3 linked regions of the Drosophila melanogaster genome follow. The protein of the gene in region 2 purifies or fractionates together with the protein of the main gene of each other region. This does not show direct contact. Each region holds a gene or a part of one and is shown on either strand. Other genes may lie near its edges. The genes, in order: spag, lqfR and Tti1.

Evidence for each region.
Region 1: the proteins of lqfR (region 2) and spag purify together in Drosophila melanogaster (affinity purification with western blotting, with the first as the bait; one study listed by BioGRID). This does not show direct contact.
Region 3: the proteins of lqfR (region 2) and Tti1 purify together in Drosophila melanogaster (affinity purification with western blotting; one study listed by BioGRID). This does not show direct contact.

What each region holds. Positions count from the first base shown.
Region 1 is NT_033778.4:24,155,461-24,163,915, forward strand, and holds spag (spaghetti), read left to right. Parts: upstream 1-3,923; 5' UTR 3,924-4,010; coding exon 4,011-4,166; intron 4,167-4,219; coding exon 4,220-4,497; intron 4,498-4,556; coding exon 4,557-4,765; intron 4,766-4,827; coding exon 4,828-5,411; intron 5,412-5,468; coding exon 5,469-5,754; intron 5,755-5,818; coding exon 5,819-5,910; 3' UTR 5,911-6,043; downstream 6,044-8,455. Other genes in the region: speck, read left to right, coding at 344-517, 1,437-1,589, 1,654-2,088; CG42568 (uncharacterized protein), read right to left, coding at 2,321-2,653; DnaJ-60 (DnaJ-like-60), read right to left, coding at 2,902-3,070, 3,132-3,460, 3,514-3,625, 3,685-3,728.
Region 2 is NT_033777.3:22,407,565-22,419,636, reverse strand, and holds lqfR (liquid facets-Related), read right to left. Parts: upstream 8,337-12,072; 5' UTR 8,053-8,336; coding exon 8,000-8,052; intron 6,989-7,999; coding exon 6,787-6,988; intron 6,728-6,786; coding exon 6,358-6,727; intron 6,277-6,357; coding exon 6,180-6,276; intron 6,118-6,179; coding exon 5,360-6,117; intron 5,095-5,359; coding exon 2,327-5,094; 3' UTR 1,835-2,326; downstream 1-1,834. Other genes in the region: Nop56, read left to right, coding at 1-399; CG13850 (uncharacterized protein), read left to right, coding at 8,974-9,151, 9,215-9,925, 9,989-10,238, 10,300-10,574, 10,628-10,697, 10,757-10,967; CG13855 (uncharacterized protein), read right to left, coding at 11,117-11,381, 11,438-11,622, 11,688-11,800, 11,865-12,072.
Region 3 is NT_033777.3:9,748,486-9,758,669, forward strand, and holds Tti1 (Telo2 interacting protein 1), read right to left. Parts: upstream 6,202-10,184; 5' UTR 6,097-6,201; coding exon 5,912-6,096; intron 5,854-5,911; coding exon 5,355-5,853; intron 5,296-5,354; coding exon 4,195-5,295; intron 4,146-4,194; coding exon 3,070-4,145; intron 3,013-3,069; coding exon 2,631-3,012; 3' UTR 2,603-2,630; downstream 1-2,602. Other genes in the region: PpD3 (protein phosphatase D3), read left to right, coding at 127-368, 425-575, 641-762, 821-1,091, 1,156-1,606, 1,663-1,744, 1,800-1,859; Rpt3R (regulatory particle triple-A ATPase 3-related), read right to left, coding at 6,413-7,086, 7,135-7,678; Alg12 alpha-1,6-mannosyltransferase, read left to right, coding at 8,394-8,519, 8,580-8,712, 8,771-8,944, 9,011-9,164, 9,218-9,589, 9,649-10,184.

The sequences.
Region 1 (8,455 bases), on a different chromosome or scaffold from region 2:
ATAATAGAACTAATAATTAAAGTAAACTACATCTGCTAGAACTGCGACCTTAGTTTCGGTTCTATAATTTATGGCTCCTGTCGCTGGCGAACATGAAAACAAAATTTGAATAACATGGTCGGTGGAAAATGGATGTGGAAATGGAAATGCACGGGTTCGCCATCCATGAGCTGCGAAATATACAAAACAAATTAAGCTGCCTTTCATCTAAGAGCCATAAATAATAATGTTTCCTATGCGCCGCCCGACTTTCCTCCGACCGCCCATCCATACATCTAAGCATCCAACCATCCCTCCATCCATCGAAAGTATCTGAACGATTTGTTTTTCTGGCGCTTTGCAGCTGAACGACTTGTATCCGATCGCCCGGCTGACACAGAAAATGGAGGACGCATTGACCGTCTCTGGGAAGCCAGCCGCATGCCCCGTCGACCAGGACTGCCCCTACACCATCGAACTGATCCAGCCGGAGGATGGGGAGGCGGTGATAGCCATGCTCAAGACCTTTTTCTTCAAGGTAAGTGCGCTCCCGCCCATCGTACATTGTATTATAATCAGGGGGCTGCTTGGGAGATTGGTGTGCATATCGTAGGAGCCAATCAAGCCGAACACCTGGCTCCGGAATTTATAACCGCTTGCCGAATAATTTGAATCGAAAGGCGGCGCACAAAGGTGAATTTGAATAGTTTCCAGCGAATTTCAATTAGCTGCGCGTTCGTCTTAATTAGGCTTTAATTCAGATCGAAATTCGCACACTAAACTTGAATTAATGCGTGTTGGCCAATCCCTGGGAATTCCAGCCTCCGCCGGGAGCTTGCCCCGTTTTGGGGCATGTGGAATCTTGTGGAGTCCGTCCAGTATTCGGCTGTCGTGAGATGTCTTGACATGATCCATGTCACGGCTAGCTTTCAGCTGGTCTTGCATCACGACTCTTGGCGATCTGAATCTCAATCTCAATTGGAATCTGAATCCAATGCGCTCGCTTGATCTTGACTGGATCAGGTTCCAGTTCTCGATGGGGCCGGCCAATGAGAATGCTCCCTGCACAGACCCAGACCAATTGGGCACTCAAGACCTATATTTATACATATGTACATTGCATATACATATGTACATATGTATATACTGCATATTGATTAGTATGCATGCCACGCCCGCTGGCCACAGCCGCCCCCCTCCGGCGTTGAGATGTTGATATGCAAATCGAGTTCCGTTCGCCATTCCCCAGCTGCCTCCATAAATTATTGGAAAATCTTTAGCCGATGCAATGCGTGCATAAATCACTTGAATTGCCGATCAATTGCACGATCGTGTCGCCTAATAGCGCCGCCAATTTGTTCGGTCAGCAGATCCCCAGATTGACGAGCAATCGGATCCAAATGGGTGGGCCAGTGCACTGATGTCTGAAATCTAATCCGTTTTCCTATTCCGCACAGGATGAACCGCTGAACACCTTCCTCGACCTTGGCGAGTGCAAGGAGCTGGAGAAGTACTCCCTGAAACCGCTACCCGACAACTGCTCCTACAAGGCGGTCAACAAGAAGGGCGAGATTATCGGTGTGTTCCTAAATGGACTTATGAGGCGTCCGGTAAGTGAACCCATTAAGTATGATATGAATGATGCATGACTTATTGTGCTCCATCTATGCATAGTCCCCCGATGATGTGCCCGAAAAGGCGGCCGACTCCTGTGAACATCCCAAATTCAAGAAGATCCTCTCGCTGATGGACCACGTGGAGGAGCAGTTCAACATCTTCGACGTGTATCCCGACGAGGAGCTCATCCTGGACGGCAAGATCCTGTCGGTGGACACCAACTACCGGGGCCTGGGCATCGCAGGCCGCCTGACGGAGAGGGCGTACGAGTACATGCGGGAGAACGGCATCAATGTGTACCACGTGCTCTGCTCCAGCCACTACTCCGCCCGGGTGATGGAGAAGCTGGGCTTCCACGAGGTGTTCCGCATGCAGTTCGCCGACTACAAGCCTCAGGGAGAGGTGGTCTTCAAGCCGGCGGCCCCGCACGTGGGCATACAGGTGATGGCCAAGGAAGTGGGTCCCGCGAAGGCGGCGCAGACCAAGCTGTAGACGATCTGAGTTCGGATTTTGTACTATCGTATGTGATTCTTTAGTTTGTAGTTCGGTGGCGGGTTCCCAGTAGTGTATCAACGTTCGATTCAGCGTAGTGTAAACAAACAGTACAAGTTACGTATTTATCTAATTTAATCTTCCCGTCGCGACGGTAAACTTAAGTGTTTTGTGTTTAGAACGAGCTCAAAATAAAACCTTGTCTTAATAACATAACCGACTGGACAACAACTTAGCCCCTGCTGGCACGGCGGGAGTTCGACTTCCTGTTCTTGCCGGAGCGCTTGGCCTGGCTCCGTTTGGCCTGGGTCTTCTTGGCGTTCAGTTTCCGGTTGCTCCTGGTCCTGGAACTACGGCTGGTGCTGCTGGCGGTGGTGGTGCCCACACGGATCTTCCTCACAATCGAGTACGTCAAGTTGGACAGGTACACTTTCTTGGGCGTGCTGGACGAGCTGTAGGTGGGACTGGTGGAAGTGGAGGAGGAGTTCTGTGAACTGGAGAAGTCCAGGCAGCAGATCACGAGCACCACGATGCACAGGGTGCCGATTTGAATAGTTGACTTCATGTTGGTAGTAGGATTGCTTTTAATATGCTTCGATGGATGCGGCCGGAGTGCTTAAGTAGTCGCCCTGGTTGTTTGCACAGTTTGCTCAATCGCCTACGAAGGCCGACGAAATTGTTTAATTTTGGCAAAACACACTGGCGCTTAAGCAATCGCTCTTGAGTTTGCTTTGCCTTGAACCAAAACAAAATATTCAAAAATAGCTATATGCTTTCACGTTTAATTTGACCAAAGGAAATGGGGAAATGGGATTACTTAGCCGAAGACTGGTTGAAAGGACTCCGCGACATACGGTCCACCATACGACGCACTTGCTCCTCGTTGCCGTACTTCTGGGCATCGGCCACAACGGCGGCATGATGGGAATTAGCCTCTGCTGAGATTTCGTCCTGGATCTGGCGACTCAGTTTAAAGGACGACCTGTTGGGGATGGTGAAAGTTCAGTGTGACTACTTAAATTCTCTGGTTCATAATCATTAACCTGACGGAGGTGAAGCCAAAGAGTGCCCCGACGAAGCCTAGGGCCATCAGAACCACGGCCACCTGCCAGTTGGAGACCCTCTTCAGACCACGGATGCCATAGTACGGTCCTGGATTGGGATCGTAGTTGGGCCTCACATCCCACGCCTGGCCGGGATTGACCGTCTCGCCAACGGGACTGCGGTCCGAGCGCGATGGCTGCCACAGCAGGCTGTCATCGTAGTCTCTCCTCCGCTCCGGCTTTATCAGGGTCTTGTACGCCTCGGAGATCTGAACAAATCGGGCTGTGCGCTCCGGACACGCAGCATTGCTCTTAACATCTGGGTGGTACTGTGGAAAGGGCAGGGTTTAGGAGGCTCCTTTGGAATCTTGGAGTTACTTACCAATTTGGAGAGCTGGACAAAGGCATTACGGACTTCACGGGTGCTGCAATCATTGCGAATATTCAAAACTTCATAGTGTGTTTCGGGTTTTCTTGGTTTGTCGTTCGAGAAACTGCGCAATAGGCAAACATTTACTTTACATAACAAGTTTTATAGACGTAAAGTCCTTACTTACGCACATATCCAGCTCGAGTTGGAAGGCACAACCTTAGCATTGTGAGCTTTATTAGTATTATTTGTGCTGATCTGTCGGAGAAAGCATAATTTTAAACTAGGACTTTCAAAATAAAATCAAAACACAAAACAGCTGATTTGAGGGCCTTACTCTGGCAATCCTGGCTGGCCAGCTACAAAAATAGAGTTGGCAGCTCTGTTCGATGAAACAGCAACTCAGTTGAACTATCGACAGCGAGCAGTGCTGCCAGACTGTCGGAGCGCTAGCAACAGAAATAACAAACATTTAATATTTCTTTAGCCACTTGACAAGGCAAATCAATATGAGTGCACAGGAAAAAGCCTTCGAACTGCAGCGCCAGGTGCGCCAGAACGCGCGGGAGTACGAGAACTCCGTGAAGGACTTGTACTCCTGGGAGCAAGACATTAAAAACAAGGAGAAAGAGCTCCAGAAGTCGCCGCTTTCTGCCGCCAATAAGGTTAGCTTTAAATTCTTTGGTATTAACAAGTAAAGCTCACACTTTCAATGCAGGATCTGCCAGTGCGCAGTCATGTCCAGACAGACAAGTCGCGGAAGGAGAGCCCATCCTCCTCGGCGGCCAGCTCACCCACGGAGAAACAGGACTTGCCAGTGGATCCTGTGGCCCAGCAGTACAAGAAGGCCAACGACATCAAGGACCGTGGAAACACCTATGTCAAGCAGGGGGAGTACGAGAAGGCCATCGTGGCCTACTCCACTGCCATTGCCGTCTATCCCCACGATCCCATTTACCACATTAACCGGGCACTGTGCTACCTAAAACAGGAGAGGTAGGACTGTTTAGAATGTTCTCGATACTTCTTCCTTACATGCATATTTATCCTTGCAGCTTTGATCAATGCGTGGAGGACTGCGAGGCCGCCATTGCGCTGGATAAGCTCTGCGTGAAAGCTTACTACCGGCGAATGCAGGCCAACGAGTCCCTGGGCAACAACATGGAAGCCCTGAAGGATTGCACCACTGTGCTGGCCATCGAGCCGAAGAACATCGAGGCCAAGAGGAGCCTGGCCAGAATCAACGACCGTCTGCGCAAGATTGGTAAATATAATTTTGATTACCTAGTAAGCATATTTTAAGGCTTTTCATTGGCATCCTTACAGCCACCAAAAGTGGGCCAAACTTTACACCCGATCGTCCTGGCATGATTGAGATCTTGCCAATCGAGAAGCCTGCTTATAAACGCTCCAAGAAGGCAATGCGCAGTGTTCCCGTTGTAGACGTGGTATCTCCTCGTGCTACCATCGATGATAGCAACCAACTACGCATTTCGGATGAGGACATAGATAAGATATTTAATAGTAACTGCGGCATAATCGAAGAGGTCAAAAAAACAAATCCAAAGCCGACGCCAATGCCAGACACATCAGGTCCACCCAAAGCTGAGACCATTGCTAAGACCTCCAAAGAAGTCAAGCCTACCAAACAGACTGCGGTTAAAGTAGCTCCAGCTGTGGAAACCCCCAAAGAAACAGAAACACGCAAGGATACCAAGATTGTGCCTGAATCCGATAATGAGGCCAAGCCAAGTGCACCCAAAAAAACGGCTGTCGAGGTCCCCAAGGTTCAGACTCAAGTTTCTCCACCAAAGACCACAATAGAACGCAGCCCAGAAGTCAATACCGTGCAAACTGAAAAAATTGAACAAGCTTCGAGCAACAACGCAATGTCACCCAGTCCAATAGAGGTAGGTTCGCTTAAGATCAAAGCTGAATTATTATTAAACCAATTCTCTATGATTTAGCGCTTCTTACCGCCCGCACCCACGAGCACAGCACAGTTCCATGTGACCTGGAAGGAGCTGAGTGGTCCGCAGAAGTACCAATACCTAAAGTCCATTGAAGTCCCGAATCTGTGTAAGATCCTGGGAGCAGGCTTCGATTCGGACACGTTTGCCGACCTGCTGCGCACCATCCACGACTTCTTTGTACCAAATAAGGAGCCAAACACAGCAGCTGTCTTGCTGGAGATCAGCAAAAATGACGAATTCACCATTTTGGCCATGCTCATGTCCGCAGAGGAGAAGAAAAGTAGGTGACAAAACTTTTCTTGCATAATTTCGTTTGCATTTCATGTACTTTCCCCTTTTCACAGTGGTTTCGTCTATCCTCAACGCCATCAAGAACTGGCCCAGCAAGAATCCGGCTGTGCTGGACAACCTTTTCAAGGAATACGGAGTAGCCTAAACACCCAATGTTTTATGTTAAAATGTACTTATGTTGCTTCAAATTGTTAGCTCCAAAATCAACTAAAACAACAAAAATGTTTAAAATATAAAGAGGATTTGTAGATAGGATCCCAAAACGTTACACAGAATGCGAATGATTGAATGTGTTTTGTTCAGCGTTTATTAGATACGCTAAGATGCTCACTAGTTACACATGCTGGGAATATCTCAAAGTGACTCATGTTTTTTAGCCTAGTATAAGCCGAAAATTCCATATGCAGAAGACCATTTGAGCAAACAAACCGTTCTTGCCCGACCAGACCATGAATATTGAATAACCAATTGAGTAATACGAATTAGTGTAATTTACATAAATCAGCGCATTAATTCAATCTGCGAAGCCACCTAAAATGGGCCTTCCAGCAAGAACAACAACTCCATTAAGCGACGTTAAGTTGGAAGCGCTGATGATCAGTCGGCTTATCCGATCCGTGCACATATCATTACAGCGAAACCACAGCCAGGAGCACCAGGAGGGGCCCCCAAAGCAGGAGGGGCATCTCGCCGAGAACCGCGCACCACCGAGGCACCCGGGCGGCCCACTAATTGCGTGAGAGCTGGTGCACTAAGCACAGGGGCCGGGTTTTACTTTAGCCCATTGTGCCGCCGCTAGTTATAATTTAATTTACATTTTTCTTAACCAACGCTGGCTGCGATTTATCAATTTCTCGCCGCGAGAGAATTCGCGAGAGCGGCTTCCTCCAGGGTTGCCGCTCCATTTGGCGCCCGGGGAGCTGCAAGTCGAGCTGGATCCGATCTGGATGTACTGCTTTAATGTCTTCACCAGCTAAAAATGTTTCTATAAAATGTTTATATGCTTGTATAGAAAATCAATCATATACGATCATATAATCATATAATCCTGATACGAATGCCACATAATTTTGATACAAGTTCAAGCTATGTGTTTATATTTTCGATAAATCCCGCCCAGCTAGCGTTCCAGCGAGCCGCAAGCTCCAAGCTGCGATCTCCGGGCGCAGTGGCAACCCCCGACAGAGCCGAGCTCCGGAGAGACCGATTCCGAGTCCAAGCGAACGAGGTGGAACGGGAATCGAGCGAGCTTGGGGCTATCGCTCATTCGAGATTTGCTGTCGAACCGACTTGGTGCATTCGCTCCGCGGATCCAATATCGCGGTTAATCGGGGGAATCGAGAGAGGCGGCTAGTTGGCGCGACTTTAGAGTCAGTGCATCGAGTATACGGAGCGTAAAACACCGACTATAACCGACATCGACACAGTGAAGCTACAGATTCGTAAACAATCCCAGTAACGCCGATTCGTGCGAGTGTAAGTGGGTGTGCCAGTGTGAGTGCGACTAATTTAAAGGCGACTTTAGCTAATCCCAGATCTACACTGATCGCAAAACAACCGCATCCCCTCCGCCTCCGCGCAGTGATCCAGTGTCTTAGCCAATGCATTTAAAAGCCATGCTGGTAATTACGCAAATTCTGTGCAGAAAAGCGAGTGAAACATGTGCGATCGAGTGAAGATGAGAGTGAAGTGGCGATTTCACTAGCGTGAAAAGTGCTTGGGCAGCCACTGTGGCGTATACGTAACCCCCTAAACCGGCCAAAATCCGTGCACTACCGCACACATCTCTATAGATCTGTATCTGTAAAGCAAGCAAGACAATGGGGGCCCAGCCTCCTCCCACTGAAAAGCCAAATGGCAGCTCCCCCCGCTTCGTTCGCCGGAGTCGAAAAACAATAAGAATGCGGCACAAACGGGTTTTTATTCTGCATTATTTATCGCTTCTGTTTGCCGTCGCCAAGTGCACGTCTTCATTCCATTAGTTCGATCGTTATGCTCTCGCTAGCCGGAGATTACTCCGATCGGAGTTTGGAGATCTGCGATCTGAGATCTGCTACTATATCTTCGTCTCAGCCTGTGCCAAGCACACAAAACAGCAAAAACTCACGAGAAGATCGGCAAAATAAAGGCAAACAGCTAAAACGTGTCCCATAGCCCAAAAAGACACTCGCGACGAGCCATCGGGCCAAGACATAAACTCAACCGGTTGGTTTGCTTTTCGAGCACCAGCCACAGTAACAGAAAAAAAACACAGAAAAAACAGTAAAAAAAAAAATAAAAACAAAAATCAGTGAGGAAACACACCTCACCTCCCCCATAAGGCCCACGAACCCAAGAGCAGTATGTAAAAATTCAGAAGAAATGAGTCTGGCAAAAACGCGCCGAGATACTTATAAATAACAGTCTAGATGGCCAAGAAGGCGGGTGATTGGGATATAGGGGGATGGGGGGGGCTGTTTAGCATAGTTTATTTTGGCGCTAATGGGCGGGGGAGGAGGGAGCAGAGATCCGGCTAACTGGAATCAAAGCCGAAAAGATGCTAAATATGCGATCAATAACAAATAAGAAATAACAAATGGAATATTCCATGCCATCCCGATCGGGCACCGACTTTCTTTTCTCGCATCCGCCACATTTGCATTCCAAATGAAATCCTACGAGCGCACTCCATTTCCAGTTCGATGATGGGT
Region 2 (12,072 bases):
AACAAGGGTCGCATCTCTCGATTCCTGGCCAACAAGTGCTCCATCGCGTCGCGTATCGATTGCTTCCTGGAACAGCCGACTAGCGTGTTTGGCGAAACTCTTAAGCAACAGGTCGAAGATCGCCTCAAGTTCTACGAGTCCGGCGATGTGCCGCGCAAGAACATTGAGGTAATGAAGGAGGCCATCGAGGCAGCTGGTCAAGAGGCGGCAATCACTGTACAGTCCGAGAAAAAGAAGAAAAAGAAGAAGCGAGCGGCTGAAGACGAGGGCGAGACGAATGGCGCCAGTAATGGAAACGGAGCAGCCGCCGAGGCGGAAAATGGCAATGGCAACGATGATGGAGAGCCAAAGAAGAAGAAGAAAAAGAAGAACAAAAACAAGGAAGCGGTGGAGGCGTAAATGTCTCTGTTACATTCAACTTAGTTTAAGTCCACACTATTATCTTTTACTTACATGCTTCTTTTGTATTTCCTTTGACCCCCTGATGGATCGCATTTCAAATAATAATAAACATATACTTTGGAGGGTATTCCCACCGGAATTTTATGAGTTTGCGTTTTAAATCAAGAGACTATCATAATTATTGGTTTCAATTGTTTTATATTTCATATTTGCTTTACATTCAATTTATATACAGACACATCGTAACGTTAACTATTGCTAAAATTGTTTGATTTTATTACGTGTAGTATTTTGTTTAACAATTTCAATGTTGGATCGCTCAGCCGTCCGTCCGCGCGTTGTGCTAACGAATCCGTTTAGTACAACCATTATTCAACTACTCTGTGTATTGCATTTGATGACGACTTTCAAATTCCGAGTGGACGATCAGGACGGATGTGGAATTAATGGGTTTGATCCGGAAAATTGCATCGGGGGTAAATTGTTTAACAACGAATTTAGAAACAAATTGCACGTGTCGCAAACTTTGTACAGCAAGGGGAAAGGAAAACGTAAATAATATATAGAACTGACAAGTTTAGCGATCGTGGAAATGTGAATGTGAGAGTGGACATTTTGGGTAGTAGGTTGGTTGGGTTAAATTAGGCTAAAAAATATCATTGAAACAAGTCGAATGCCGACGAGCTATTATTGTTATTATTGCTGTGATTCTGCTGCTGCTGCTGGAAAGCTCCAAAGTTGGCAAATGCTGATTGGTTTTGTGGAATGCTTTGCTGCGGTGCCGGAGCCCCAAAAATGTTCGGACTGGTCATTGGCGACAGTCCAGGGAATCCGCCACCCGTCTGCACATTCAGTGGCGCCTTTGCCGGACTGTTGGTCTTCAGGGCATTCATCGAAGGGGCCGGGGCACTGGGCTTGCCCGACTTGCTCATCAGCAGATTGTCCAGGTCAATGTTCATCTTGCCGCCCTTCAGGTCGCCCGACCAGGTGGCGCCCACAGCGGTAGACTGGACACTGGCAGCGGCGGGGACTGCGCCTCCGTTGGTATTATTGTTATTATTGGTCACCGACATGGGCTGGAGCAGATTATTGCCCGTGACGGCGGGAATGGGAGGCATCATATTGTCTGGAAAAAAACAAATGCAATAATAATGTTATTCGGGGTTTCAGTTTTCGTTTTTATTTTGGTTTCACAAAAAGCTGTTTTAAATATGTGGCTTCGATAGAATTGCGAATGCGGCTACTTGGTGATCGGCTAATGAGGTGGTCACTACTCGGAAGCGTTTGCGCAGCAAATCAAGTGCAATTACAGAAGGAAAGAATAGGTTCGTATCTGTTATGTGGCTATTGCCGTTTTGGATTGGTTTACCTAATGAGTCCGTGGCTGCGGAGGCCGCACAATGCCCGGAATATTGAGAAATGCTTTTCAATTCATCATTATTAAGTACATATGTATGTATATATTTGAGAAATAATATTGGATCCAATGTGTGTGTGGTTTGCAATACAAATATGCAGTAGGAGAAAAACAAATAAACAAAAGAAAGTAGTATAAATGAAGTAAATCCATATATGTATACCTGGAATACAATGGCTTCGAGGGCGATAGATATTTAAAAAATAATTCCTAGAACTGTTGTCTTATTTCTAGCAAATACCTAACTCTCGAGTCTATTATTAGTTTATACAATTATAAGAAAATGTTTAAGGACACAGCGTTAACGTTTGTATGAGAATTGATGTAAAGTATGAAGTAATCTTGTATTTAATCATATATATCATATATTAATTCGGAAATATTTCAGTAAAAAATTGTTCGTTTTTCCGTAACAAGAAATATGCTTAGTGTATTTTAAATACAGTTTTAATATTTTAAATCTCTTAAAACTCTATAGGCTGCTTTCAAAACTTTTTGATGGCCAAGTTAGGCAGCCTGTTCCATGGCGGCTGTATCAAAGAGTTTGTAGCAGGTGTCCAAAATGCTTTGGGCCAGTTCACGACACTCCTCCGAAGTCTCTCCGCCCACCAATGGCGATCTTATGAAGTCATTCAGCCAGCGCTGCAGTTCGTTCAATGACTCCGCAAAGTGCTGGGCCAGCACATGAGCTGGTGTGGTTACCAAGGCGATTCCTATTAGCTGCAATGTGGCCGCTCGGACGCGGGCCTCGGCATTGAAACGCACAAAGGCGCATAGGTCAAAGATCTCGCGGGTCATCGCTGGCAACAGTGGACAGTTCTGGGAGCACATAACCAACACGGACATGGTGTTTAGCAGGTTAACAAGCAACTGGGTGTCGATGTCGTGAGAAATATTTTCGTATTTTACGTAAAGCATCTGACGGGTGCGCTGTCCCCTCACCAAACTGAAGAAAAATGTACCGGCAACGGGGTGAAATGGGTTGGCCTTCTCCATTTGATCTCCAGCTTTGGGCTTGCTGAAATATCTCTTCGTCTTGGCCCGCAGCCGGTCGCGGATGATCCTTTGCGCAGCGGCCAGACGAGCGGCCGGACTCTCCTCCTCCTGTTGAAATTCGAACTTTCGGGGATGCTTGGCTGCCGGTGGTATAACATCCACAATTTCCATCTCATTCTGCATGTTTTCATCGCCAGAAAGTTCTTTCGCCGTTGCTGCCAGTACCTGAAGGATCAGAATACGGACACTGGCCGAATAGAAGGAGTTATCCGTGTGGAACTGGCGGCATAGGTACTCGGCACAGGGACCAGGATGAGCCACACAAATGGCCACGCAACACTTAAATTGCGTACGTTCGAATTGCTCATAGTAGAACTGCATTTCCATGACCAAGAAAAGTTGTAGCAGATCCAAGGCCAACTGAGTATCATGTTTGGCCAGCTGACCCCGTATAAGTTGCTCCGCTGTGCCCAAGGCTCCTTCGAACACCTGATAATTCTCCACCTTTTCTCGGAGCAAGTGCAGTAAGTCGATGACGAATTTGGGACGTTGATCAATGGTGGTGGTTGTATCGTTGGACATGTCATAGGGTTTCAATTCATCGTCGTCTTCATCCAGTGGCTCGTCGTCATCCGAGTCCAGCTGCATGTTTACATTCTGATTTTCGGGAGCGGGATTCGCTTGTATTTCAATATTCGGCTTATGCGGCTCTTTCTGCTCTGTAGTACTCATAAAGTCACTGAGATGAAGTTCTAATTGTTTCAGCTGATCCTCACAAGGCTTCTCATCTAGCTTAGTTTTGCTCGGGCTTTCAAACTGGCCAAGTTCATCAAACTCTTCGAAGATGTGCCAATGAAATGTATCCTTAAATGAATCGTACTCAAATCGTAGACGATCATCCTCCTTCGCATCAGGCAAGGCAATAAAATTGAAAATTAGCTCCACGGTCTTCATTCCCACATGACGCTGCAGTGCATCTGGGGACTGCAAATGGTTGCTGAGTCCATCGTGGAGCTGACGCTGGATGTTCAAATCCATTACAAGATTCCCACAAAGGCATTTTGCCGCCAACACAAGCAATTTGGATATAGCCAAGTGCTCTTGGCTGCCCAGTTTCTGCAAGGAAATGCGCTTCGACCAGATTCCAAGCAACTGATTCAAAAGAACCTGCAGTTGAGCAGGAGCTACGGCGTTAAGATAACTGGCCAATGTTATAAGCTGCTTATTATCCACGGGTGTGCGTTGAAGAGGCAACTTCTGGAGCAGGCAATGCTTCCAATGAGGTGTCTCCAAAGTGGCAGCACCTATAAGAACGTACAGGTTCAATCCCGCAGAAAGAGCCGATTGTGCTGTTTTTAGGCAAGCAGCGGGATCCAATTCTTTTAATATGGTATGAACTACTTTTCTTCCTCTGGGAGCCACCGCGTAGTCCTTAAGTACTCGTAGGAGGCTTTCCAAAGTTGAAACATCGTAAATAAGGTTAATAGCCTGTGACAAAAGCCAGGAGTACGGTTCCAAATCAAAGTATTCCCTATTATCATCGCACTGTAGGACAAAGTGCAAGGATTTCAGCCACTGGCGCAGCAGGAGTTTCTGATAAGAAACTGGAGCAAACGTCTCTGGCAGTCTTCTACCCAGTCGATTGGCCACCTGGGCTGGCAGACTGATTAGCAATTGAAAGAACGCTTTCACCTGGGCATCCAGCTCCTCCACTTTTCTTTCCGGCATAACTTTGATGGTCCGCGCAAAGCGCTGCATTAAGGAAGCTCTCTGGCGGGAGATGTGCAGCAAGGCGATAGAAATTAGGCTCTCATCCTTAACCATGTTTTCCAGTAAGGAACTAATAGTACTGGGAAACTTATCCAATCTAGTCTGAAGCGACTCAAAGGCAACCGATACATAATCAAAGCTGTGATCCAGTTTAAAAATGTTAACGACTTCAACATCCTGCGATGGCTCTGGCCAATCCTGGCTGAATAGCTCTGTCAATTGATTCAGCAATGCGGCATACTCTCCATGGGCAAGACAGGTCCAGTCGCACGTCTGACGATCGAGGCCAACCAACTGCTCAGGTGTGGTAAATCCGGGCAGTGCGTTTGAGTTATGCAGTTCCCCCAAAATAGCTGCTACTTGGGCAACGGCTGAAGCGCTCTGGACCTGCATTAAATCGCGCAGCTGCTTCTGTGCCTTGGAAAAAGCTAGACGCATTGCCTCAGATGGTGGCTGTGGGGAAGCCGACGACATCGAATCATTACTGGATGCCAACTGCTCTTCAACAGCTACGAGAGAGAACGAGAAGAGAACGAGTGCATCCGATTGGAAAATGTTGCCGTTTATATGTGGGAGGATGAGATAGTGTATCTTTGTGTGGGCTGTGGAGCTCGAGGTAGAGATAACGGCTCTAGTCAAGCTCGGAAGGCGCACCTTCATGCAGCGATACCTAAATATATCATGAAGTGACTAAGGCCAATGCAATTACTCTAATCTTAAAACTATTTCAAATTTAATAATATGTTAAGCTACAAGAATCAAACTACAACTCACCCATGGGCATGCTTTGGTGAATGGACAGATCGCCCAGGCCTGCCAGGAGATCTGTAGCCGTTGTGGCTGCTGCCGTCGAGGTGGGAGCTGAATTAAACAGGTCAAACGAATCGTTCGCCGGCGTGGCAGTCTTCAGCAAATTACCGTCCAGCGCAGATGTCGACGTTGTCGAGCCTTGGAACGCCGCAAAGTCGGCGAACTCATCGTTCGCAGCCGGAACCAGGCCCGTTGATGGTGGCTCGCTGATCGTCGATCCCGCCGAGGGCTGCCCGAAAGCAGAGGCGAAGTCGCCGAATTCCTGCTGGCTAGCATCGCTGGCACGCGGATTGAAGTCATCATCGTCATCCACAATCACGGCAGCACTGTTCAGCGTCTTCTCCTGCCCCGGCGGTGGCGAGCAGGTCTTGAACAGATCGTCCAGCAGATCGTTGTTATTGCTTTGCGTATTATTGTTTGCCTTGGAAGTAGACGGCGATGGCGAAGCGCCGCCCATCAAGTCCACGCTGGTGGGAGTGTCACGGTGAGTTGGTGAGTGAATGCCAGCAGCACCGCCAGGAGCTGGCTTTCCAAAGTTTGCTGCCGCACCCAGATCGATCTTCTTCTGGGACAGCGCTGGCTTGGCAGAAGCCGTTGAAGTGGGCTGCTTGGAGACAGGGGAACTGACGGTCTTCGAACGAATGTTCATGTTGAGGCTGGAAGGTTTGGCCTCGCTGGCTACTTCGGCAGGACTCGCACGGTCATTGTATCGATAGTTACGTCTGTGAGGAGAAAAGAGTACATTAGGATATAGAGCAGGTTAATCGGAAAAGTGAAAACTTGCCTTGGACTGGGTGAGTCGCTATCGGATCCCTCTCGCTCTCCATCGTAGTGAGTATCATCATCCTCATACCGATCCTTGTCGGCGCTTTTGTCGGAGTCTGAAGAAAAATCATCAATATTAATATTACATATAGAGAATTTGAACAAAAATCTTAAAAAAATAAAAATTTCTTACTTACACCAATTGTCTCCACGACTAGAGCGATAGTCGCCATCATTGTAGCCACCGCTGCCACCGCCGCCTCCTCCAGATCCACCGCTATAGCCGCTGTAGCCACCGCTTCGCATGCCCATGGCGTCGCTGCTCATGCCGATGTACTTGTCCTTGTTCTTCTTCGCCTTTTTGCGCTCCTCGCGCAAACGATCATCATCCTGAATAAAGTCTATAAGCTCTCGTACCTTATGCCTAACATTAATACCCTGATCCTTGCCGCCCTCGTCGGTGAATGTATAGTTCTCCAGCGAGCGCAGATCGTAGATGTGCTCCCGAGAGGAGGTTACCACCCGTTCAGAGCCGTTTCGCACCAAATAGTTTAGCAGAAGGAGGCTCTGTAAGTAAATATATACTCGTTAGCTCTATATTTATTAGTTTAAACTGAAAACGTTACCTTGTACGTGCGTCGCCAGTTGGTTTTATTGTCCTGCAGCATGCGCTTCCACAGCATGGACATCACCTCCGGGAATGTTTCGTATGAGAAGGTGGAATAGGCCAATTCCTGCATGAGGGGTCCTGTAGGCCCCCAAGGATCATCGTTGGTGGCCTCCCGCACCTTGCCCTCCGTTTCCGTGTAATTCATCACGACATTGGTGCTGCAAGTGGGAACGAAGTCATTGTTTTATTTTAAAGTAACTATTAACTATTCACGATGTTAGTCGTAGAACTTTTGTACATATGTAAATACAAATCTTAATCCGAGCTTGTTTCCTTAAATAATTGATATATACTTAAGTAAAGAAAAAAGGCATATTGACTGGGACATTCCGTAAACTCAATTGAATAGATAATCAAATAGATAGAGGGCCAGTTAATCAGAACTGGTATTTTTAAGTAAACGTTGTGTGACGATATGGATATACAATGCAAAGATGCAGATAAATAAGTAATACGCATGGCTTGGCTGCGACGTTGATAGACGTTCGAAACGTGATGGAAGTGGGCCAATTGTCGCAAATGGGCCATCTAGGTGTTCCTTATCAGTTCGAGATAAGCCCTAGGAAAGGTGTACCCGCGCACTTAACCTAATGAGTTCGGTGTTGGCTATCGAGCCACCATTATTTATTCGAACTATAGGCTCGCTTTTAGAAATAACTACCCCATAAAAGGCGCAGGTGAAAGGGGACACCCATAATTAATAATTCGATGGGGGAAAGAGAAACACCCATTTCACTGGAAAGCCTGGAAGTGGAGCTGTTAACACAGGTGAAAAAATTGTTATATTTGGGCAGTCGAAAGCAAACAAATTGTTTCTTGATAAAGCCCCACACACACAGGCGCATATACACATGGATATCAATATCGGAATGTGGCTGTGTTGGTAAAGCTCTCTTGAAATGGCGAACAACCTTGAAAGCAGTTAAAAACGTGAACCTAATCCAGCACCCCGATGCAGTTGATCCATAAGTAAGATATCTTTATGAATTATTAGGGATTTATGCATGACATAGGGCTTTTGAAATCCTTGAGGAGTTGGGGGCGTGGCGGGAAATCAGAAAACTTGGGGCGTGGGAGTCTTAACATTCACTTCGGCGTTAAGGGAATGTTATACACACATCCCATTACATATACGTATGGATATATCCTATATATTCCTGATCACTTACACCTTGTCCGCCAATTCGCGCACTTTCCACATGCTGATGAATTTATCCACCATTTTGAGACTATTGAATGCTACGGAATTTTTCACACAATCTCGTCGAAAAGTGGCTGGAAAATCCAACTACAACAAGACGTCGAACTCGTTTTCGCTTGGCGTGCCGTTTTCTGACTGTTTTGCAGCTGACGATTTGCACTTTTGCATGGAAACGGCGCACCTGTCTCGCACCCGCGCTTTCCGCAAACAAAAATGTAAAAATTTAAACGAAAATTGTAAAACAAAATCACAGCAGCTAATATTTGGTGAGCTGTCGTGTCCAGTGTTGCAAACAGTGTTTCCAACTCTCACTGTTCAAGTGTAGCTAAATCCGATAAATAGCTGTAGCCGTTATTAATGAAAATTAGCTTTTTAAATTTGTGCTCCAAATAGTTCAATAAAATATTAGTTTTCTTATTAATAAAGCACAAAGAGAAATCGGCATAGTTATAAAATGGGAACCATTTACCAATAACCGAAATAGTTCAATAAAACATTAGTTTTCTTATTAATAAAGCACAAAGAGAAATCGGCATAGTAATAAAATTGGAAGCATTTACCAAATAACCGAAAGCACATGCAATGACACCTAAGTTCCGGAATAAAAAACGCCAGATCTAGCTAGAAAATGCTGAGTTGGCAGCACAGCTCGCAGTGTTACAAAAGCTTTGCATGGAGCCGACGGGTCTTACCCTACACTACCATCAGCTGAACGCTGCTGTCATCTGTGGATTCTCAACGTTCAATAGGAAAGTTTACTAAAATAAATGAAAATACTAAATGAAACGTGAAGGATATCAGGGGAAATAAGACGGTTCAAGTCATGAATATAAGCCTATATCATTGGCATGCTTTGTAAAGCCCCTTCCTGGCCGCTAAAAATGTAAACAAAAAGGTTATGTAAACTTCTGTGGTCTCTTGCAGCGTGTGGATTGACTGAAAATGTTGGGACTACAACGTTTTGCCGGCAGTTTTGTCACCCAGTTGTACCGCCGTGCAGCCTTCAGCAGCAGTGTCCGGGCAGCGGGCATTCCCGTGGCGCCCACTGGAGCACAATCGGATGCAGTGGAGCCGGAAGCACGCGCGCCGGCTGTGGAGGAGGCGGCCAAAAAGCCCAGGGGTAGGTAGATTCTAAAATTGTTGTCCTCCTTACTAATTGGTATTCACTCCATCCTTATTGCAGGCCACATGGTAGCCGCTGCTTTCGAATCCCTTAGAAACGACGATCCCAAAGATGAGAGCAAAAGCCAAGCCTCCAGCAAGATCGATGAGCGTATCATCAACGCAAAGACAGTCAATGGACTGCTAACTATCACGGAGAACAACAATGGCTTCTCGAGGAAGCATGCCCTCAGAATTGTCTCCATACTGGCCGAGTGGAGCACCTTGAATCGAGTAAAGATCTCGGAATTCGAGAACGACACAAGGTTCCTACGTATTTGCCGGATGTTGGGCCGGACGGTTCCCAAAAATAATAATGCTAACAACAAGGACCTTGGTGACAATGGGACGGCCAAGCGGATTTCCGGCTTCCGAACAGATGACCTAAACACGGTGCTTGGCGTAGCTGGTGACGATGAGGCCGCTAAGCTGATAGCTAGCATCAGTCTGCCCCAGATGGTCAAGGTGATGAGCACCCTGGCCCAGCGGAAGAGGCGTAGTACTCCTCTCTTGCGCTCCCTGGCCTTTAATATCAGCAGCGCGTCGGAATCGCTGGATTTAAAGCAAGCGGGGGATGTGCTGTTCGCTATGTCCACGTTGAATTTCCAGGATTCTGTTCTAGGCGCTAAAGTGTGTGCGGATGTGCAATCGGCGCTGCCTAAGAATGTGGAGAAGTCTGCCGTTGTGGGATCCATTATCACCAGCCTGGGCATTTTACGATACCGGGATTTGGGTTAGCTCGGATATAAACACATCAGAAAAAGTTGTGATTAATGTAATTTATTTTTTTCGGTAGATATCTTGGAATCACTTACGCAGTGGCTTTTAAAGAATAGTGAAATCTGTCGCCCCCAAGATCTCAGTGCCTATTTCCTAACATCGGCCCTGCTAAACTTCAAAAGCGCTCAATTGGAGGAAGTGAGCAAAAAGCTAGTAAAGTCTATTGTCCGCGAGGATTTTACCAAGCAATCCGAGTGGTTGAGCTTTGTGTGGTCGCTAACAATGTTGGGTCTAGTAGAACACGGCCACTTGGCTTCTGTTTTGAGGTTTGTTCTTTGAAACGCTTGAAAATCTGGAATTAAAACTTAAATTTGTAATTACTTTCAGTGCGGACTTCCTAGAGACGTTGAAAAAGGACAAAGCTGGTGTCACAGCTACCTCCAAAATGAGGCTACTCAACTTGAATAGCTATGCCCAGTTAATAGCCACAGATTACAAGGGTCCACTATTGCCCACTGACAGTCCTGTCTATCAGGTGCCCATGGCTCATCCTAAAGCAAAGCAAGTGCTTGTAAATGGAATGCTAGATGCCCTGAAAAGTCTGCTGCCGGCCAGCAATCATTTACAAACTGCTGTAGACACTAAAATGGGCTTCCTTATAGGTAAGATATTCCTTGTTAATGTGTACCATATTCCTGATTAACTGTCGTTTCAGATGCACTGTGCCATTTTGATGCTAACAAAAACCCCCTGCCTTTGGACAAGGAAAATCCGAATGCAATAAGGCAAGTTATTACACGTTTTATAAATTAACTTGATTATAATGAATGAAACTTGATTTCAGGGTGGCGCTGATGGTCATCGATTTCCATGACATTTGCCACGGAACGCATCGCAGTGGCAGCGGCGTTACGAATCTGACATTTGATCTGCTAGAGAAGAGTGGTTACCACGTTATTCCCGTGCCCTATAATGAGTTCAGCACCAGTGACAAACTACTGAAACGCGTTCAGTATTTGGAGTCAAAGTTCAAGGCGATTGCAAGTAGCAAATAATTGCAGTTATAGTTTATTTAATTTTTCTTGTAATGATTGATCAATATTTGAATTGTTAAAATTTTGTAAATGTTAAATTAGGCGCTGAATTACAAGCTAAACCCAAATTTCGAAAGGTGAGTTACTGGGAGTCATTTTAACCACATAGTTTAGACGGCATCCAGTTTACTGGAACGTTGCTTGTTCATGCCCACTTTCCACCATTGGCCCGTTTCCTGGAACTCGGTGGCCACAGCAGCTAAGGTGTGGAATAGGCTGCGAGCCAGCATGTGAAGATTACCGATGTGCAGAACGAACTTGGGATCATACACCTTCTCAATGTCATCGATCTTGTAGTGATCTCGCGTCTCCCGTTCCGTCAGGCAAATACAGTTCCACGGTGCCCAGTCATCGCTCTTGTTCCAACGCGGTAATCTGAAATAGATATATTTGACGTTTGATTTTTAAACACTTCATTGTGAAGGGGTTACCTTAGTTCACTGAGATTCTCTGTCTTGCTTAGAGCCGAATGTCCATGCCATATTTTGTCTATGATGTGGCGAACATCATCTGGCTGCATTACAAATGCAAAGGATGTGGTGCACTTGCGTTTCCGCTCATCTCGATGGATGCACCGTAGAATGGACTGGTACACGGTGTTCTCAGTAGCAGTTAGCTATGTGTATGTATGAAAATATTTTCGATTATAATATTTAAAATGTGGAATAAGGAATAACCCACCTTTAGATAGTAACAGTGCTTGCAGGTGTCCACATGGCTCTGACGTGTCCGAATGGCAAACTCGGCATAGGTCTTGACCTTTTTGCATACAATGCACATGCGCGATGGAATCCCTAAAAATCACAATTCCCAAAGATTAATACAATAAATAGATATATACGTATGTTCAACACTTACTTTGTTTGGGCTCGCCCTTTTGGAACTTTATGAGATCGAAAAAGAGCATTGTCTGGCGTTTGCGCAAGATTTCCACGTCAAAGGACTTGGCATAGAGCAAAAGATTCTTTTCGCGATCAAAGAGATCAAAGAGTTCGGGAAAATGTGGGAAGCAAGTCTCCTCGGTGAGCACTGCCATGACTTGTCGGATGAAGTCTAAGCGGTCCTC
Region 3 (10,184 bases), about 13 Mb from region 2:
AGTGCCACCTTCAACATAACCTTAAAACAATGGCAAACTTTGGCTGTGTGTGATAATTTACAAGTCTGCCGGAACCTATGGGGGTATAATTATTACCATTACTCACCCTTTGGTCTATTTCCATAGCCAAGGAGTTCTCCAAAGCCATCGACATGTACACCAAAGCCATAGAACTGCACCCCAACAGCGCGATATATTACGCCAACCGATCCTTGGCGCACTTGCGCCAGGAGAGCTTTGGTTTCGCACTACAGGATGGTGTTTCGGCGGTAAAGGCGGATCCTGCCTACCTTAAGGGTTACTATCGCCGGGCAGCGGCTCACATGTCTCTGGGGAAGTTCAAGCAAGCCCTTTGTGACTTTGAATTCGTAAGTAATCCCCGGCAGCACCTTGGGACCTCCACTAAACAAAAATTTCTTTACAGGTAGCCAAGTGCCGGCCGAACGACAAAGACGCCAAGCTTAAGTTTACCGAGTGCAACAAAATTGTCAAAATGCGCGCCTTCGAACGGGCCATTGCTGTGGATAAGCCCGAGAAGACGCTCTCAGAGATGTACAGCGACATGGAAAACATAAGTAAGTGGCTTATATTTACTCTATATAGACGTAGAGATTTACTTGCTTTTGCCAACGTATTGCAGCTATTGAGGATGACTACAAGGGTCCGCAGCTGGAAGACGGCAAGGTGACTCTAAAGTTCATGAAGGAATTGATGGAGCATTACAAGGCACAGAAGCGATTGCACCGCAAATTTGCCTACAAAGTATGCGTGTAACCCCCAAGCCCAGCAGACCTTTGAATACTTATACAATTTGTTTCAGATACTCTGCGAGATCGACACGTATATGCGAGCTCAGCCCTCGCTGGTGGATATCACTGTGCCGGATGAGGAGAAGTTCACGATTTGTGGCGACATTCACGGTCAATTCTACGACTTGATGAACATATTCGAGATCAATGGTCTGCCCTCTGAAAAGAATCCCTACCTGTTCAACGGCGATTTCGTTGACAGGGGTTCCTTCTCTGTGGAGTGTATATTTACGCTGTTTGGTTTCAAGCTGTTGTATCCTAATCACTTCTTCTTGGCGCGCGGTTAGTTTTTTTTTCTGTTCAGATGTAGAGATGTTATTTATAACATGCTTCAAACATATTCCAGGCAACCATGAAAGCATTAACATGAACCAAATGTATGGATTCACTGGCGAGGTGACAGCGAAGTACACCAGCGCCATGGCTGACATATTCACGCAAGTTTTCAACTGGCTGCCGTTGTGCCACTGCATCAACCAAAAGATCCTGGTCATGCACGGCGGGCTCTTCTCCACGGAAGACGTGACTCTGGACCATATAAGACGCATCGAACGAAATTGCCAGCCGCCCGAGGAAGGTCTTATGTGCGAGTTGCTGTGGTCCGATCCTCAGCAGTGGATGGGTCTCGGTCAGTCGAAGCGAGGCGTGGGCATCCAGTTTGGTCCGGATGTTACCGAGAAATTCTGCAAAGACAACAACCTGGACTACATCATTCGAAGCCACGAGGTTAAGGATATGGGCTATGAAGTGGCTCACAACGGTAAATGCATAACAGTCTTCTCTGCTCCGAACTATTGGTAAGCCTACACATTTGATCCTTAAACTTTAGGTAATCTTTTACCTTTTTTTGCAGTGATACTATGGGCAACATGGGCGCATTTATTACCATTACGGGTAACAATTTGAAACCAAATTACAAATCATTCGAGGCTGTGGTAAGTACTAAAAAACAACTTTATTCGGGTCAATTCATTAGCGTAATCTTTTCAGCCACATCCCGACGTCAAGCCCATGGCCTATGCCAACAGCCTAATGAACTGGCTGGCGTAGTCAGTTTCGCATTAACTTCAATAGCTAAAACATACTCCCACACAACACATACCAATTTACAAACAGCTTGAGAACTTACAATCGCAAGACAGCCCAGCTTACAATGATCAAAGGAGAGGAAAAGGATTCGAAGATGCTCAATAGACTTATGCACACCGCGAGCTGCTTCACTACTTAAGTACGAGTATGGCGAGTCCATAAGGCGTAGGACGAGTGGAGGACGGGGAAAGGATCAAGATCACAAATACAGAACAGCAATCATTTTATAAATTCAGCTATATTTGATACAGAACGAAATGTTATAGTGTATTGTGGCTTTAGAAGTCGGATGCTAAGTTTTATCGGTGCCAAGCATCTGGGGTTCCACTTGTAAGTAAAAATTGAAAGAAAATGTTTGTTTATGCATAGCATTTAGTTATGGCTACCAAAACATAATATACGATTACATATATACAATTTTTCATCAATTTTGTTTGTTCCGAACGCTTTATTTGTGTATAAAACCCCAGTTTTGTTCAAAAACCTTGCCTTGTTTATATTTTATAAAAGTCATTTCAATAAAACTATTCAAGTTAGATACCTCAATAATAATCCCATACATTTTTTTAATCCAATAACTATTGCCTACTCTCCGGGCACAAACAAAACAGTTCTGATCAAAATATTCGAAACTGCATTAAAAGACACCTAGCTTAAGAGCCTGTAATGTTAATCGAGTGAACAGAAATCAGAATAGAGCAATTGTGAAATAAAAAATCGGTCCGTTCTTTATTAACCAAGATCTCGTCCACTAGCTATGCTAAAGCCCATGACCTCGAAGATCTGGTTAACATTAGCCTGATAATCCTGAAGATGGGCCCGCTGCAACAGCGTAACGTATACGAAGGGTCCATTGTAAGAAATAAGCTGGAGGAAGAACGCTCTGGCCGGCGTCTGTAGCTCTTGCGGCTGTATTTGTGATAGGTATATTACCACCGTGCTCATGATCTCGTGCAGATGTCTTCCCTCTATCTGAAGACCGAGTATAAAGTCCGCGAGGCTCTTCAGCAGCTTAAGCTGCAGTTTGTACTCCTGAGTCTGCGCTTGCGAGGTCTCCGTGCTGCTGTGCAGGGATGCTGTCTTCAGGAACTGCTTTAACTGGGGTATCACATCACTGAAAAGCACAAGGATAGGGTAAAAAGATCTAGTTATCCTCGAAACAGTGACTTACCTAAGGCTGCGTTTAAGTATAAAGTCCTTGGCATGAACGCCTAGCAAGTGCAGCAGGGTGAAGCATCGGTTTAGCACCAATGCGTCCTTTTGGCGGAATTTTTCGATCAGAGGTTGCCACACTAGATGCACTAATGGCAGCAGCTCGTCCTCGTAGTCCGCCAGTAATGGCAGACCACTGGAGAAACATTCCAAAGCTGCAATCTGCTGCCCCTGATCGGCGGTGGAAATGAACTTGATTACTTGACCTAGTATATCCTTAACCATTTCCACGTGGCGCGGAAGCACGGGCTTCGTGGGTTTCTCTTCCGTGTCATCCGCATCGTCGGCTTCATCCTTTGCCGGCTCCTCGGCGTCGCCCATGTTGGTGTCGCCATTCAGATCTTTCAATAACTTTGGCCTCTCCAGCACACTCATCCACGTGCTTAGGACATTCTGCTCCTCATCCACTTGCATCGGCAGCTCGGTATCAACCTCCGCCGCAGCATCATCATGCCAATCGGAAACATGATTCAGGAATGATTTGAAGACGCGAAGATAAGAGTGCACGTTGGTTGTCTGGTGTGATTTGGAGCACTCTTCGCGTATAGTTTGGAATAAGCTGTCCAGGTGGGGCACATTGCCGCGTGTGCTGTACTGCAACACGACGGTGAGGATGTCCACGGCGGCCGTGCTATCTGGCGATCGTTTTAGCAACGCGTTTAGGTGAAAAGTGATGTAGTCGGTGGAGCATTCGATAAAATGTGAGGGCTCCGCATATTTAAGAGCGTACTGCATGGAAACGAAGGCGAAACTGGCCGCTTGATGGACGATAGTGTTACTGCTAGCCACCTTGAGAAGCACTTTGTGTAGACTTAAAAATATATGCCTGTCGAAGGTATCACCAATAAATCTGGCACAGTGACCCACTGCATCCAAAATTAGGCAGGTGTGCAGAACATTAAACTGGGCGTCTGCAATGGTCACCCGACTACCGACCACCTCCGTCTGCTCGTCATCAGAATCGCAGTCCTGGGTGCGTACCTCAATCGCCGATGAATAGATGCCAGGAGTACGGTCCTCAAACCAATGCGTGGGCTAAAAAAAATTATAGTACACATTGTACACATATAAAATCCATTCTCACCTTGTTGACCTTAAGGCGCCACGCCGAGTCCGGCTGAAGGGCCAGGTTCCAATGCTCGTCTCGAAGGATCTGGTCCAAGAAAAGTTTAGCCAGCACCAGTCGACTTCCCCGCGCCTTCTTCTCCTGCGGCGTTACCATCAGTGTTAGAAGCAGCACACACTCGTTCATGGATGGTGACCTTTGCTGAATCATCTCCTGACAGTAATCAAATACAAGTCGATTTATTGTTGGCTCAGTACCCAACAGGGCTCCAATGTCATATAGGATATCAACTGTACGCCTTGAGCTTAGATACTTGAACTGCCTCCAAGGCAGTTTGGCCAGTTCGGCGGCCAGACCTTTGGAATCACCTTCTCGAATACGTCGAAGTGAGTATTCCTCGTTGAGAAGGTCCCTGGTTGGCCGTTGATCTAGTGCTGTCAACAGACAAGTGACGAACATCTCCAGATTTTTGGGAACTAGCAGCAATAGCTGCAATTTATCGGTGTTGACGTTGCGTAGGAATCCTTTGAAGAACAGAAGCTCGGCAAACTGTTCGTTGTCCTCGCAGCGATGCAGTATGCGTGGCCATTTATTGAGGTGTGCATCTAGCAGCATCTCCGCATTCTCATCGAATATGTCTTGGCTGCTGGCCTGTTGTTGCAGCAGAAGTAGGGTGTCCCTGCACCGCTGGGCTATCTTCTCATTCTCGTCCTCTGACAGAGCCAATACGCTCTCTAGTACATGGAGAAAGTTTCCCCTCAGATTGTAAGCACAATGTTTTAGCAACAGGCAACACATATCGGAGTAGGATTCCCTTACCCGTATTGCGCTGTGAGTCCGTAGAATACTCATTTCGGCAAATATTGGTCGAAGGTGCCTCGAAGTGGCGGCCACCCACTGATGCGAACGAAGCTCCGTTTGCATTTGATGCAATCGCTCCTCATTCTGTTCTGTAGTAGCCTTCTTGCTGGCAAAAAAGGTGAAATCGCATTGATGAGCCTCTTCGTTGTTTTTGAACAGTTTGCGGAAGGCATCTCCATCGTAGCGCATTTTTATAAACTCATTAGTGGTCTCCTCAAACATTATGCAAATAATGCGTCCCAGCGCTTGAATTGCCATCTAATTATAATATTTAAATCAATATAAATGAAGTTATACAAAACCATCGAAAAACTCACCGATTTTATAGTCTCTCCCACCTTGTCATCTTTCATTGATGTTTTGAACAGCACGATGAGTACCTTGGGAAGGAATATAAATATGGTATTGGCTACCTGACTACGCAGGACAACATCCACTTGATCGGATTCGTCATGGACATAGAAAACCATCATCAGACACTGAATGGCTGTCTGTACGAGTTTTCGATACTTTTCCTGTTCGATGATTTCCAAGAGCATGATCAGTATCTGGCCAATAACCATCGCAGTCTCCTTAACGTAGAAAGATTCCACCACATCAGTGGTGGAGCGACGAAGTGCCTCGAATATACACTGAACGGCTGCCAGTTTGATTTCCTCGGAAAGGTTTGGTCGCATGGACGCTGTCTTGGAGTCGCGTACCTGTTGCAGCACCACCACCAGGATGGAACGCAGACCCTTCTCATCGGCCAGGTATGTTTTGGAGACAATGTTGCTTAAGCAGTTCATCAGGCTGGTGCGAAGTTCCTGGTTTTCTCTGCGGAAGAGACAGTCTTCTCTGAAGTCGAAAACCCAAGCGGAGCGGAGCCACTTACCCGGTTAGCTCATCCAGTTTGACCACCAGTGGCACCACCGTTTGCACCTGGTAAATGCGCATTTCTCCAAAGTTGAATCCCTCGATTGCGCGCTCCACCACCGACAACGTGTCCTTGCTGGGCTCCTTGATGAAGCCTTCCACCGCTGGCTTTATCTTCGTCACATACCACTCTAGATGCATCATCGTGGCAGCAGTATTCACTAACCAAATAAACCCAAAGCGAAACCCGGCAAAATCCGGGAAGAAGTTTTGAACCAACAGCTGTTCCGACAGTCACATGCAAACGCGCGCGTTTTCACCCCCGCCACCCACAATCGCTATCGAAGTCTATCGGTTATTTTGAATTGCGCGCCAAGCCGCCCTTAATTTTGATTTTCTTTTATTTAAAGCACCAGTATTGACTAATATATTTCGAAGTTTCAGGATTTTGGTAAACTCGGGATTGGCTTTGTTAAATACTACAAGTTTACATATTCAGATTGTATTTGAAATTAATCATCTAGCTATAGAACTCATGCTGAGCTTCGTCCTTGCGCACGCTGGTCTTATAACCCTTTTCGAAGTCCTTGGCATTGACCACATAGCGATTCTCGCGCACTGCATGCATACCAGCCTCTTGGCAAATGGCATTGATATCCGCATTGGAGATCTTGTCCGGACGTGCAATGATGTCCTCCAGATCCACATCCTCACCCACATTCATTTTCGAGGTGATTGTGGTGAAAACTAAGCGCTTCTGGCGACGATCCGGCAATGGTAACTCAATTTTCCGATCCAAACGGCCGGGTCGTAACAGAGCCGGATCTAAGGTATCTGCACGATTGGTGGCCATGATAACCTTAATGTTGGTGGTCTCATCAAAGCCATCCATTTGGTTGAGTAGCTCCAGCAGGATGCGCTGCACCTCGCGATCAGCACCTGTCTGTGCATCAAAGCGCTTGGTGGCAATCGCATCGATCTCATCAATGAAGATAATTGAAGGAGAATTCTGCTTGGCCAGGCGGAAAAGATCTCGCACCATGCGTGGCCCCTCGCCTAGGTATTTCTGGACGAACTCGGAGCCCACGACACGAATAAATGATGCAGTTGTATGATGGGCCACCGCCTTGGCCAGCATGGTTTTGCCACATCCAGGTGGTCCAAAAAGGAGGACGCCGCGTGGGGGATCGATGCCTGGAAGAGAATTAGTGGAAATAGTCTTTTGATATTGCGAATACCCACCAATTTGCTTGTAAAGCTGGGCGTGGGTCAAGGGCAGCTCGACAGCCTCGCGTATCTCCTGTTTCTGGATGTCCAAGCCTCCAATGTCGGAGTAGCTGATATCCGGTTTCTCATCCGGCGATAGCATCGATATGGTGCTGTCCGCCTCCGGTGGCACCAGATCGACCAGACAATTGCTTTGCTTGTGCAGCCCAACCGAAGAGGACGGCTTCAGTTGCTCCCTGTCAATGGTGGATAGCACTCGAACATAGTAATTGGATCCGGTGGTGGAGGCCACTATGCCGTTGTTTTCATCCACCGCCTCCAGAAACTGGCCAATGACCAGAGGCACGGCTTTTATGCGCTTAACTTCCTCCTGAGCGTGTATGAACTCCTTCTTCAGATTGCGTTGCTCCTCCTTGATATAATCCTCCTGCACCTGGATGAGCTCCAGCTCCATCTGAAGCTTCTTATATAGTACATACAGATCATGCGGATCCAGTCCATCATACTTCTCCAGCGACTGCTCGTGAAACTGGGCAATTTCCTCCTTTAACAAACGCATTTTCGTCTTATCCCTGTGGAGATTCGATTCGAAGTGAAAGGCAATGACACGAATTTTCAAAGGCTAAAGCAGGTTATCGTAAAAAAAATATCGATAACTGTTAACAGGATAAGAATGGCAATACTAAAAAAGCTTCAATACATGAGCGTAACCAGAAACAATTATTTAATACTTATTGAATGCGAAGTTATGATATATTGTATTTTCAAACTATGTTGATTAAGCCCGATCGATATATAAAAATTATACAATTTCTAAAATGATTTTTAACGCTCCTTCGAAACTTTTCGCGTCGCCACGTGAATGGCAATCAGCTGTTGAACCGACCTGTTGTTTTTCTTGGATTTGTTTTTGTTGTGCTTGCTTTTCTGCCTCCGACGTGGAGCGATCTATTTATATATCTATTTTGGTTTATTTTGGAACCACAAATTCTCTTCGGCATAGGAAAAATATATATGCCTAGGCATTGACACTTTTTGTGAGACATTCAAACACTTAGTCAAAGAAAGGTGGCTAGATATCGACATTGTGCAACGCCGGCTTCGATTGGGAAATCTTCGTCAGATACCATCGCGCAGAAATTTATAGATTTTCCAACGGACTAGAATATATAGATATCGGTGTCAAAACAAATATGGCCATTATGTAACGCCCCGATTCCTGTCCAGCACACTTTGCACACCAGCGACACCCGACAGCCAAAACCGCCCGCAACATGGACATCCTAATCTTTGTGACGGCGGCGGCCCATTTGGTCTACACGCCCTTTACGAAAGTGGAGGAGAGCTTCAATCTCCAGGCCATGCACGACATTCTTTATCTGCGAAACAACTTTACGCAGGTGGAGGACAAAGGTTCCCCAAACCTCCTGCCAGATCACTAATATCTTTCTGAATTTCAGTACGATCACCATGACTATCCGGGCGTGGTTCCACGCACCTTCATCGGCCCATTGGTGGTGTCCATTATCTCAGCCCCGTTTGTCCTGCTCTTCGAGACCCTTAGCATCAACAAGTTCTGGGCCCAATATGTAGGTAAAATCAGCATTTCAACTGCCTATTTCGGAGTGTTAATTGATTATGAACCCCTTAGTGCGCCTTGTCTTGGCTGGGGCCATCTCTGTGGCCTGGAACAGCCTACGGCAGGCGGTGACAAAGATTTACGGAGTTGAGGTCCGCCTGTGGTTCACAGCCATCACTATTACGCAGTTCCACTTCATGTTCTACATGACTAGGCCTCTGCCCAATATCTTTGCCCTGCCGATAGGTAAGCCAAGTTGACGGTCTCTGCTATGCTATGTACCCAATATTATTAGACTTTTTCTTGTTGCAGTGCTCTTTGCCATTGCCTATTGGCTACGCGACCAGCACAAGCCATTCATCATCTGCTCTGGTATATCCATTCTCGTCTTTCGATCCGAGTTGGCGTTATTTTTGGGTATTTTGCTGGTGGTGAGCCTCCTACGGCGAAAAGTTTCCATTGACGGGTGAAGATTATCAATCATTGCATACTATTCAATGCTAATATTTGTAAAAATAGGCTACTCAAAGTTGCACTGCCGGCGGGCGTCTGCATTTTGGCTGCCACAGTGCTGGTGGACTCGTTCTTTTGGCGCCGCCTGCTTTGGCCCGAGGGTGAGGTGCTATGGTACAACACCGTACTCAATAAGAGCTCCAACTGGGGTACCTCGCCTTTTCTATGGTACTTTTACTCCGCCCTGCCACGTGCCATGGGTGCATCGCTGGTGCTCGTGCCCATCGGCGTCGCATTGGAGCCACGTATTCGGCCATTGGTCCTGTCGGCTCTCCTCTTTGTCCTTTTGTACTCCATTCTGCCGCACAAGGAGCTGCGCTTCATCATCTACGTGTTTCCAGTTCTCAACATTGCTGCGGCTTGCGCATGCCAACGAATGTAAGCGTCGTATTATTTCATTAGTAAAATGCATTTCTATTATTGGTTTCCTCGTTTAGTTGGATGAACAGCGCCAAGTCAACGTGGCATAGCTTTCTGGCGCTCGCCTGTGGAGCCCATCTCCTGCTAAATGTCTTTATAACGCTCTTCCTGCTTGTCATTTCGGGCACCAACTATCCGGGCGGAGCAGCCCTCTCCCGATTGCATCGCTTGGAAGCTGGCACCTCAAACGTTTCCGTTCACATTTCCAACTTGGCCGCCCAGAGCGGCGTGTCGCGTTTTATGGAAATAAATAATGAATGGACTTACAGCAAGGACGAGACAATGAACTATACCCAGGCGGATTTGGTTGCATACACACATCTTTTGGTCGAGGCGAAGAACAAGCAAAACACTGAACTATGGGCATCGCTCCAAAACGAATTCGATACGCTAGAGTTTATTGACTGCTTCAACAGCATCGGCATTCAATACAATTCTCTGCTGCCGGTGCGAATAAAGACGAAGCCTTGCATTGGTATACTTAAAAAGAGACCAGTGGCTCCAAAAGAGGCATCAAAAACAAAAGAGAAAATAGCAAAAACTAAGACATACC